Linked DNA regions of Caenorhabditis elegans. The protein of the gene in region 2 interacts with the protein of the main gene of each other region in a pairwise test. Each region holds a gene or a part of one and is shown on either strand. Other genes may lie near its edges.

Region 1 (3,756 bases), about 11 Mb from region 2:
TCATCAACGGATTCCAACTCAAACTTGAAACGAAACGAGGCGTTTTGAGCCTAGATCATGGTGTCACTGAACTGATTTTTTTCTGCAATCCACCGGACGGAAGTAACTATTCTAATTGGTAAACTAGCTAATTCAATTTCTAATTCAGATACCCTAAGCATCGATAACAAAATTGTCATTTACAATGATTCGCCATATGGATACTGGAGATCGATTCAATGGTGTCCCAAAGGATCTGTTATCATTGGAATCACAGAAAAAATCGATTCCGAAAAATTTGACAACGCCGGTATTACCAACTTTGGTGCTAGGTGCGGACGCCCAGAAGACAGAACTGAACAACCATCTTTTCTCTTTGGTATGGTGGAATATAACATGTGTGTTTTTTAATTTAATTTGTAGCCAAGCTCTACACTCATGGTAAATGGACCCTCCCGGAAAGCTGGTGTGATGTTGGATCGGCCTTGGCCAGTTTTAACCCAAGATTTACCAGAAGACGAGGGCTCGAAAGCGCTAGTTATGGATGCCGCAAAGTCTAGAATAATAGCAGTGGAATGAAATTTTAAAAATGCAACTAATTGAACTACGTCTTTATTTCAAGTTCACGTGTATAATAAATCTTTTTCATTTATTTACGTTAAAAAAACGTTTTTTTTTGTTAATTACAATTATGAGAGCATTAGAGAAATTGCCATAGCAGCAAATTTTTCAAAACATAAATCTAATTTGATTTTGAATTTTGGTGGTGTATGTTTCGTTTTTTCATGGAAAATTTTGTATAACTTAAGCCGAAGCTGCCGATCAATCATGTATTTCCAATTTGAGCTCATATCTGAAGAACCGTTGGGCTTTTGCTATAACATTTTGCAGGAAATTTTACACTCTTGAAATGACACAGATCAAGAAACACGATCAATATTTTTGAAAAAAAAAACTTCGGAGGTTTTAGTTCAGTTTTTTGTCAAGTACTACATAAATTTCCGAGTATCCATGGGAATAGTATCCTTAAAAGTGGGGCATAATAAAACATTTCAAAAAAGAGTTTTCAAAACTCAATCGAAATTTGGTAATTTGCCGAATCCTCCAAACATTTATAATTTTTAAAGAACTTTTATAATTTCTGCATGTTCAGAATGTTCAAATCTAGAATGTTCAAATAGCAACACTTTGAACGCAGCGCAATTGAAGTATGAAAAAGTCGTAAGAAAAAATATATGACTTCCAAAATTATGATAACCAAGTTTTCACTACTGTTTGACGGTACAATAAATTTCAAAAAAAAAATTGGAAGTCATTTTTAGAAGTCAAAACCACAGCACTCACAAACACAATAACTCCAAACATTTGCATAAAAACGTACCTCTTAATAATCTATGTATTTCAGACAGCGAAGATGTACATTTCTCAAGTGCACTTGTCATGGTTTTGTGCAACTGTTGATGATGTTGCTGTTGTTGATGAAGATGGTAGGGCTGGTGAGGAGGAAGTTGAGATAAGGACGGTGATGCGGTGATGGATGAAGTGGTAGTGGGGGTGGAAGCAGAGTGCGATCGGTGATGCAATGGAAGAGGACGAGAGGCTCCTCCAGCAGTGGTGGTCAGGTGGTGATGGAGGAACCAAGGAGGAGATGAACACCGTTGGCTTGATGATACTTTAAACTCCATTTTGCTCACACACACACAATGTTTCCTGCAAAGAGAGATTGATTGAGTATTTCTTGACTTGAGAACTTGGAAATTTGATGGATTGGAGAGAGTTCAAAATTTAAAGGTTTATATACTTTTATATTCTAGAAAAAAAACAACGATTTTTGAAAAACAATCAACTTCCCTGTCAATCACTGTGCAAAATGTGTCCTGGTTTTTAAAGTCTTTTACTGGATTGTTTTTGATATGTTTTTTGACGCAAAGTTCCAGGTTAGAGTTTTAAAACTACAAGTTACTGGTTTTGCGGTTTCTTTTTTTGAATTTTCAGTCACCAGAGGTTTGGAAAAGGCCTACCACACGCGCCGCATAAAATTAAAAATATATGTACTTTAGACTTGGTCCAAAAAAACTGATCACAAGACCATAGTATACTCAAAAAATTTAATTGGGCGGCGAGGTTCTCACGAGTTCTCGAATGACAAATCCCGACTTTTGAGCAGATACAAAATAGCAGAGAAACAGCTTAATTGTGATTTATGGAATTTGAGTTTTTAGTTTTGCAAAGAGTTTCGGGCCTAACAAAGCTCAGATTTTTTCTGATAAAAACTGGAAGGGAAAGTTTCGCGATTTGAGACCTCTTACATGAACGGGAACGATGAACCGGTTGATCTTTTTCAGGCATTTTTGTGCAATAGGAGGCATTTTGTGTAGGCAGAAAAATGGATGCCTGCCTGCCTGCTTGCCAACAAGGCTGCCTACACGCATGACGCTTTGAGCTACGAGTGCCAAGGGCTTTTAATATACATGAATGAGAGCACGAATTCGCTTAATTTATGTTTAGAAAGATAACTAATTTTTGTTAAAGTTGGGATTATATGTAAACCATAAAGCCTGCCTGCCTACAAGGCTGGCTACGTCTGCCTACACACGTAGCACAGTTTGAGTTATACACTAACGACCGAAAACTATATAGGTAAAAAGATATAAGTGTCCAGAGGCAAATGGAAGGCATATTAGAGGCGCCCAGGCGGAACGTCAAGGTACCAAGCATAGGCTTGAAGGTAGGCAGGCCTTTTTGTGGTAGGCTTATTTCAAACCTCTAGGAAAAGAAAATGTAGCCTAATATTTTTTCACTTTTAAAACTCATAAATCCTCTACTCAATTAGTACATTTGCTTTCTGCCGACAACTAATTTTCAAAAAAAGATGAGATAAAGATGAAAAAACCAAAAACACTGAGCTTCATCTTCTTCTCTTCCTCTATTTTTTACCCAAAACTACAAAATCTTCATCTCCGCCCATATCATCATTATCCACCCTCACTTTTTGATGTTCTGTGTAAAATCAGCTGTGTGTCGAAAGAAACGAAGAAGACAAAAAATGGAGAGAAATTTATGCGGCTGTTGTGTTTTTGTGTGTGCTGCCACAAATTTTCTCCGTGTTTTTTTTCGTACAATGCTCTTTTAGTACGTTGTCATCCTGATGGAATTTCGGAACGCGGCGAGAGCAGCTGCTCCGGCTTGCCCGGCGATGACCAATATCCGAATGGCTCGCAAGAACTCATTATTCTCGTTTTCTTCTGCTAAAGATTTCGAATAAATTGCACAATACCCTGAGCATTGCACAATTTTACACCTCTTCGCTTGATGGCTCAATTTTGTTTGGGGATATGGAGATAAATTACCTGGATTGAGCTAAGGAAGAGCGAAGAGTTTTGGGGTCCCGTTTGGATTTTAAATAAGCTATAAACTTTTGAAGACGGCGTTTTTATTGATTTATGCCCGCTTTTGTAGAAGTTCACATTGTTCAAAAAAAAAGCCAAAAACCTTAAAATTTGAAGCGACATGGTGCAAACGAGATGAGAATATTTTTCAAGTATTTTTACAAGCACCGCTCTTCAACTGTTCAGTTTTTTTCAAAAAAGAGCCAATGTCTGAAGAAACTCGTCACAGACCCAGCCATTTTCAAACTCAAATAACTCAACGGAGAAAGGAGATATCAAAAAATTGACAACTACAAAAATCTTTCCCGTGTAATTTTGCACATTTCGTCAATTGGAAATTTTGTTGACTGAAGCATGCTCTACGAAGATACGACCCGTTGAAGGTAAC
Region 2 (3,756 bases):
TCACAATTTGTGGAGCAACAACTGGAGATTGGCATGCTGATTGGCATTGCTGACATTGTGGAGCAGCTGGTTGCTGACATTGTGGAATACATTGTTGTTGGCACTGTTGAGTCTGTTGGCACGAAGTTTGACATTGTTGGCAAGCTGGTGCAGATGGAAGTGTGCATTGTGGAGCACACTGTTGCTGGCAAACTGGAGCATACTGCTGGCAAGTATTCTGGCACTGCTGGCACTGTGGAGCTGATGGCTGTTGGCATTGAGGAGCACACTGTTGTACGCATTGTGGAGCTGCTTGCTGACAGGTTGTCTGGCATGGTTGAGTACATTCCTGATAGCACTGTTGAACTGGAACTTGTTGTAGAAGACATTGTTGTTGACACTGTTGTTGGCATTGTGGAGCACATTGAGCAGAGATTCCCAAGTTGACATTGATGACTTGTGGAGCAACAGTTGGAGCACATTGTTGAACACATTGCTGCTGACATTGTGGTTGACATTGTTGAATTGGTTGAGCTTGAACACATTGTTGAGTGCACTTTTGTTGGCATTGTGGAACACACTGGACTGTGACTGGAGCTGGAGCAACACAGGATTGTTCACAGGCTGGCATGCAAGATGGTTGACATTGGACTGGAGCTGGAGCAGCTATTTGAGTATAACAGGAAGACGTCTGACAAGTCTGCTGGCATGAAGATTGACACTCATTCATAGATGGAGCAAATTGACATTGGTTCTGGCAAGACTGCTGACAAGCTGGAGCACATTGAGAAGTTTGCACTTGGTAAGTTACTTGCTGAACTGGTTGGGCACATGAGCAGGATGTCTGGACTGGAGCAGTGTTCTGACACGAACAACTGTACTGTTGTGGTTGAGTTGCTTGTTGGCATGAACAACTTGGTTGAACTTGTGAAGCACAACCACATGATTGACGTTTATCACGAATTGATGTTGCCTGGAAAAAACTTCTGTGAACTTGGAAAACAAGCATTTTGTTGCTAACATCGATTACGTCCAACAAATATTTGTAAGATGTGGGCACTTAGAAAACTAGACCGTATTATCAAGAACATTTTGAAAAAACTGTACATGATGAATTTTTCATCAAGTGATGGAAAATTGTTGTAGTTAATATAATATTTTTAATTATTAATAAACCGAAATACTAACTGAAAAAGTTTAGAAATGTCGTGCCATTCTAAAAGTGAAAGTACAATGAAACTTTATCAAACCTCGATAAGCAGACAGCTGGAAGCAAAGAGAGCTACAAATACGATGAAACGCATGATAATGGTTGAAGAAGCAGGGCTTGATGATTTCCACAGATATCAAGGCTTTATATACCCCCTCAAACACTGCTTGCGTACGATTATAGCAATGTAAAAAAATAGTGCCGGAAAAAATAGTCCAAGAGTTCAAGTCTTGTAATTTCGAATGGCTATTGTGAGAGCAAACAAAAAGGTGTTTCTAATAATGAGTGGCGTCAAAAGGCAATAAACAATTTAAAATCGTTTTGTCGAAATCCGAACTCTAAAGTTCAACAGGTAACCCTTTCATTACTTTTCTGAAAATGTAAACGAAATTTTTTGGTACACATAGTTAAGCGGAAACTCGGCGCAATCCAAAAAAAAAACACTGTATCAGTGCAAACGCGCACCCAACCTCTTTTTGATCTTTGCAACTTGCCGTGCCCTCAAGAAATAGTGTGTGTAAGACTGGGAGGCGACGAGCGTGTTTTTTGGTTCATTTGCCATGTTATCATTGTTATGTTTGCGCTGAGCATGAAGCCGGTTGATGGATGGAGTTTGATAAGTGGGACGGAACTGTTTGATGGCTAATGAAACAGGGTTGTAGGACGTTGGTATAAAAGTCGGAAAAATTAAAACAAGGGCATCAATTGTCTCTTAGCAGCTCTTCAATCATATTGACAATGCGTTTTATTACAATTGCAGCAGTTCTTCTTGTTTCTAGCCTTCTTATTGTTGAGGTACGATTTGTATTACTGTTGCTTCACTTACTTTCTGAATTATCTGTAGAATTAGTTAACAATTTATATGTACACCTTGAAACATTATATTATTTCTAGGCATCTTCAATTCGTGATAAACGTCAATCATGTGGTTGTGCTTCACAAGTTCAACCAAGTTGTTCATGCCAACAAGCAACTCAACCACAACAGTACAGTTGTTCGTGTCAGAACACTGCTCCAGTCCAGACATCCTGCTCATGTGCCCAACCAGTTCAGCAAGTAACTTACCAAGTGCAAACTTCTCAATGTGCTCCAGCTTGTCAGCAGTCTTGCCAGAACCAATGTCAATTTGCTCCATCTATGAATGAGTGTCAATCTTCATGCCAGCAGACTTGTCAGACGTCTTCCTGTTATACTCAAATAGCTGCTCCAGCTCCAGTCCAATGTCAACCATCTTGCATGCCAGCCTGTGAACAATCCTGTGTTGCTCCAGCTCCAGTCACAGTCCAGTGTGTTCCACAATGCCAACAAAAGTGCACTCAACAATGTGTTCAAGCTCAACCAATTCAACAATGTCAACCACAATGTCAGCAGCAATGTGTTCAACAATGTGCTCCAACTGTTGCTCCACAAGTCATCAATGTCAACTTGGGAATCTCTGCTCAATGTGCTCCACAATGCCAACAACAGTGTCAACAACAATGTCTTCTACAACAAGTTCCAGTTCAACAGTGCTATCAGGAATGTACTCAACCATGCCAGACAACCTGTCAGCAAGCAGCTCCACAATGCGTACAACAGTGTGCTCCTCAATGCCAACAGCCATCAGCTCCACAGTGCCAGCAGTGCCAGAATACTTGCCAGCAGTATGCTCCAGTTTGCCAGCAACAGTGTGCTCCACAATGCACACTTCCATCTGCACCAGCTTGCCAACAATGTCAAACTTCGTGCCAACAGACTCAACAGTGCCAACAACAATGTATTCCACAATGTCAGCAACCAGCTGCTCCACAATGTCAGCAATGCCAATCAGCATGCCAATCTCCAGTTGTTGCTCCACAAATTGTGACTGTCATCCTAGAACCTTCAGTTTCTCAATCTGCTCAATGTGTTCCACAATGCCAACAATCATGCCAACAACAATGCATTCAACAACAACAACCAATGCAGCAATGTGCTCCAGCATGCACCCAATCATGCTATCAATCGTGCTCTACTGCTCAACTAGTCCAGATGCCATGCCTCACTCAATCAGTCAACTCCTGCTCTTGCCAGCAAAACTATTCTCCGTGTGGAAATGGACAATGTTGCAAGAGAATGTAGTCATCCAATGTATAATTGTGACACCAGTTATGTGTATATACAAGACAATACTTCTTTATACTTTTTTAATAAATAATATTGATAACTTTAAGTTTTTACTCAAATTTAGAAAAAAAAAAAAAACTTTGACCACTGAGCGGATCGAACGCCCAACCTTTCGATCTGGAGTCGAACGCGCTACCATTGCGCCAAGCAGTCACATTTTCCTTTGTCATCTAGTGCAATGACACGAAAGGGGTAGAGAGAAAGGAGAGAATAAGGAGGGGACATATGGCGGTAGAAAAACCGGTGACGGACTACTCTCTTCATCGTTTATCACATATTCTGAGTGTTTGTTTTTTCAAATTTAATGGAGGAAATAGATAGAATAGTGAGGAAATGAGAATGTTATTGATTTTCATGGCGGCATTGGTGTGAAACTTGTTGCTCCTACTGACGCGATTGTGCCAACTCTTGACTGTTTAATC
Region 3 (3,756 bases), on a different chromosome or scaffold from region 2:
GATTACACCAGATCGTTTGATGACATTGAGGATGGTCCTTTTTGAAGCAGACAATTGAAGCTCATTGCGAATATCTCTTGCCGTCTTACAGGAGTTGGAGGCAGCACGAATCACATTTCGTTCGTCACGCACGGAGAGAGCTTTGCGACGAGGAGCTCTTTTAGATGTACCGTAGCTCACCGGATCCTTCAGATACTCGCGAATACAGTGTCGAGAACGGGAAATTTTCCTACTCATTTCATGCAGGGACACATTGAGCAATTTCATAACATCCAGCTGAGCGCGTTCAGTGTCCGAAAGGGCAGATCCTCGAGGCATTGCAAGTTAGACTGCTTTCGAAGTAAGCTTTCCAGCCTCTATATGTGTGCCACAACACATGCCACAATTCCACATTTAATAATTCACGCAAAAAATAGTAAATAACATCTGTGAGGGACAATTTAACTTGAAATATTGGTCCCATGGAACCTTGTAATCAAAGAAAAACGATTTGATTCCTGATAAGCCTTCCATTGTTTCCTGCTGCATATTTTGCCAAATCAGCTTGACTACACAGTCGAAACATCTAAAGTGCGTGCTAGGAATTTTAGTAGGAACTTGTTAAAGAGAGTTTATCAAGTTTTTGCATTACCGAGAGCACCAGGAAGCTTGAAACAGACTTGAACATCAAAGATCGGAAGAATCAGAACCAGTCTGGAGATCCCACGAGAACATTTCGTATTAATTTTTAAAGTCAAAACTGCTTATCTGAACTCATTTCTAACTCAAACTTGATTTGAGCTTTGTCAAAAATTCCAAAATCTGTTGATTTTAGTAAAAATCGTGAAAAAAAACGGGGGGTCCTATAGAAGTTTCACACTGGATTTTGACGTTTTTTCCAGCGCGACCTCAGTTTTTGAGATAAACTTCTGGAAAAAAATGTATATAGGTTTTTTTCAATTTAAAAACGAACGGCATTAGCAGTTTTTCGAAAAAATTTTCGGAAGTTCCTCAAACCTTCAAATTAGGGGGGGTCCTATAGAACTTTCCCACACTGTATATTGCAAGATTTCCTATAATTATCTACATACTGACAAGTGCGAGAACCTTTTCTTGGCTCCAAAACGAAAAATCTATGAACAATATGTGGAAATTTTGTGGTAATTGTGACAGCAAATGTTTTTTAATGAAATTTAAAAAAAATTTCAATATTTTCCAACTTATCAAATTATATTACCCATATGCCAAAAATAGATGCCTGGTCTCGACACGACAAATGCTTGCTGGATTCAAAAGAATATGCGCCTTTAAGGGGTACTGTAATTTCAGACTTTCGTTGCAGAAAATTACAGTACTCCTGAAAGGCACATATTCTTTATCACTATTAAAAAATTAGTCGTCTCAACTTTTCCGATAAAGCTGCCGTAGGAATTTACATTTTCGTGTCTGCCTCTAGCCTTACTGCCTACATACCTGCCTACCGCCTATTTTTGCGAATTTTGCCGTTCGCTCGCAGATCCTGCTTTCAGGTTAATTAAATTTATCTCAAAATTATAATTTCGAAAAGTGGTTTTTTTTTTCATTTAAAAATACATCGAAATTATTTTTAGAATTAATTATTTCTCTAAAAATCTCACAAACATCTGAAAATCAGCATAAAGTTTAAAAAAAAACTTACCAATATTCTCATTTATTCCATTTGAATTTCCAGATGTCCCACATATATTAGGCTTCCGTGGTGGCGTTGGAGGTGGTAGCCTTACCATTATTCTCAATGTTGGAGCAACTATCTATCTGGGTGGAAAAGTGAATCCAAAGGGGGTCTTGAAGGGTTTATTTGCCTCCAACTTTTCTCCATATTTACTCAACTCAATTGTGCTGCTGCCTTCTTCGAAGTTTACAATCAAACATCCTTTAGCACTGTATTTTTTGTAGTCCACAATTGTATAAAAGCTACCAATTTATTACTAGTGAAGTATCTAATGATGATGCAAAAGAAAGATGAAAAACAAGAACCGAGTCAAATATACACAGAACACACGGACGGGGTGGGGGGAATAAGAATTATTGAATAAAATTTCGCAGTATTCGATGTGTGTATGTTTGGATCTTCTCATCCTCTGTCTGATCCGTTTCAAGTGGAAAATTTTGAAAAAAAAACCAAGTGTTTTGATACCCATTTTGTGTGCAATTTTGTTGTGGCTAGAATCATAATGGTTTCGATTTGAAGTGTACAAGAATCTGAAAATTGAAAAATCTATTGCTGAATAAAAACAACTATTTATTTGTTAGCTTTTTAATCGAAACTCAATTTTAAAGCAAAAATTAATATTTCTGGTTTTTTTTCGAAAGCTTTTTTCAAAAGAAAATAAATTCATAACTTTTTCGTTTTCAATTAATTAAAAAGTTTTTTTGAAGTAAATTTAATTTATTTTTCCTAATAAATAAAAACTCACTGTGAAATATAAATTAAAATTTACAGAAGACGAATAGTCTCCTGGACGATTTGATTTTCCATCATTTCATTTTGAACCTCAACAGGATCCGGTTGGCGTCGTCGCTGACGTGAATAAACCACAAAAACGAAGTAAAGAAATACAATAATGAAGATCGAAAAGCCGACTCGATCAAATACATCTGGAAAGTAGTACAGAAATATGCTCACTGCGACCATTTGACCTGTAATAAATATTGCGTTTTGACGTGTTTTTTTTTGAAAATTAGAATCACCTCCAAAAATCCAAAATAATGTTGAAGTTTGCAAATGAGTTTCCTGATCATCATCATCTTGTTCCAACAATCCATTATCAACAAGTAAATTGCATACCCATTGGCTAATCGTCAGAAGTGTGGCTGGCCGAAGTAGATCTCGAATTCGATCAGGACGGAAAAATGCCAATCCAATTCCAGAAAGAATTGGAACCATTGTTGATAAAAGTAAATAGATCTGTCCAACATTTCTGTCCTGCGCAGCTCTTCTTCTTGCTGTTGTAACATTCTCATCAACTACTGGAACACTTTCCGACGGCATTGGAGTTGTGTCACGTGGAGCTCTGACGGATCTTCGAGGTCTTCGTCGAAAACCATTATTGACAATTGGAGGAAGAGTTGCTATTCCTGGTCGTGTATATGGTGTTGTACTAATATGACAATGAACTATACTTCCTGGTTGAAGACCATATTCTTCTAGCGTTCGATGATCTTCTCTGAGAAGTTGGCCTGAAAAATTCAGTTAAAAATTATTTAGGCTTGAAGAAAAGACTTTTAATTTTTTCAAATAGTTTTTTTTAATATTCATTTTTCCATTTGATTTTCAGGATTATGAGCCAGTGGTATTAAATTTTGGGAATTCTATAAAACTTTCAACTGTGGCACGTTTTCACAATTTTTCCAATCTATCAAATTATCAACAAAATAAATTGCGGTCGATAGGTACATTTTTGTGTCTTTCAACGAATACTTTAGATATAGGCCAATAAAATTGTGTTCTATATTTTCAGAAATTTTATGGAATTCGCAAAAAATAATCGTTAGATCTTTGTTTTCACTTATTTTTTATCATTTTTGAAATATTTTTTAAAAAGCTTTTTTGCCAAATGCCAAACATTTGTTTTCATTAATTTTTTTAAACTTTAAAATACATTACTAACTGTTTTTACTTTACATAAAAAATTAAAGATACCTTGATAAATGAGCCGTATGACCTGATTCGCAAGATTTGTGAAATGATCTACTTTGAACTTTGCTACAGTATCCTCCAGTGATGCATACGTGTTT

What was found.
Region 1: the proteins of pqn-90 (region 2) and F19C7.8 interact in a two-hybrid assay, tested with the Caenorhabditis elegans proteins (one large-scale study listed by BioGRID).
Region 3: the proteins of pqn-90 (region 2) and B0303.7 interact in a two-hybrid assay, tested with the Caenorhabditis elegans proteins (one large-scale study listed by BioGRID).

The regions. Positions count from the first base shown.
Region 1 is NC_003282.8:4,636,432-4,640,187, forward strand, and holds the start of F19C7.8 (SH3 domain-containing protein), read right to left. Parts: upstream 1,665-3,756; coding exon 1,361-1,664; intron 540-1,360; coding exon of another isoform or gene 403-539; intron 359-402; coding exon of another isoform or gene 149-358; intron 103-148; coding exon of another isoform or gene 1-102. Other genes in the region: R105.5 (Vitelline membrane outer layer protein 1), read left to right, coding at 1-102, 149-358, 403-539.
Region 2 is NC_003282.8:15,289,434-15,293,189, reverse strand, and holds pqn-90 (Prion-like-(Q/N-rich)-domain-bearing protein), read left to right. Parts: upstream 1-1,927; coding exon 1,928-1,984; intron 1,985-2,001; exon of another isoform or gene 2,002-2,023; intron 2,024-2,053; exon of another isoform or gene 2,054-2,083; coding exon 2,084-3,289; downstream 3,290-3,756. Other genes in the region: pqn-91 (Prion-like-(Q/N-rich)-domain-bearing protein), read right to left, coding at 1-952, 1,230-1,283.
Region 3 is NC_003281.10:8,691,644-8,695,399, reverse strand, and holds the start of B0303.7 (SH3 domain-containing protein), read right to left. Parts: upstream 1,779-3,756; 5' UTR 1,746-1,778; coding exon 1,658-1,745; intron 1-1,657. Other genes in the region: B0303.4 (transmembrane and ubiquitin-like domain-containing family 1 protein), read right to left, coding at 2,456-2,658, 2,710-3,198, 3,662-3,756.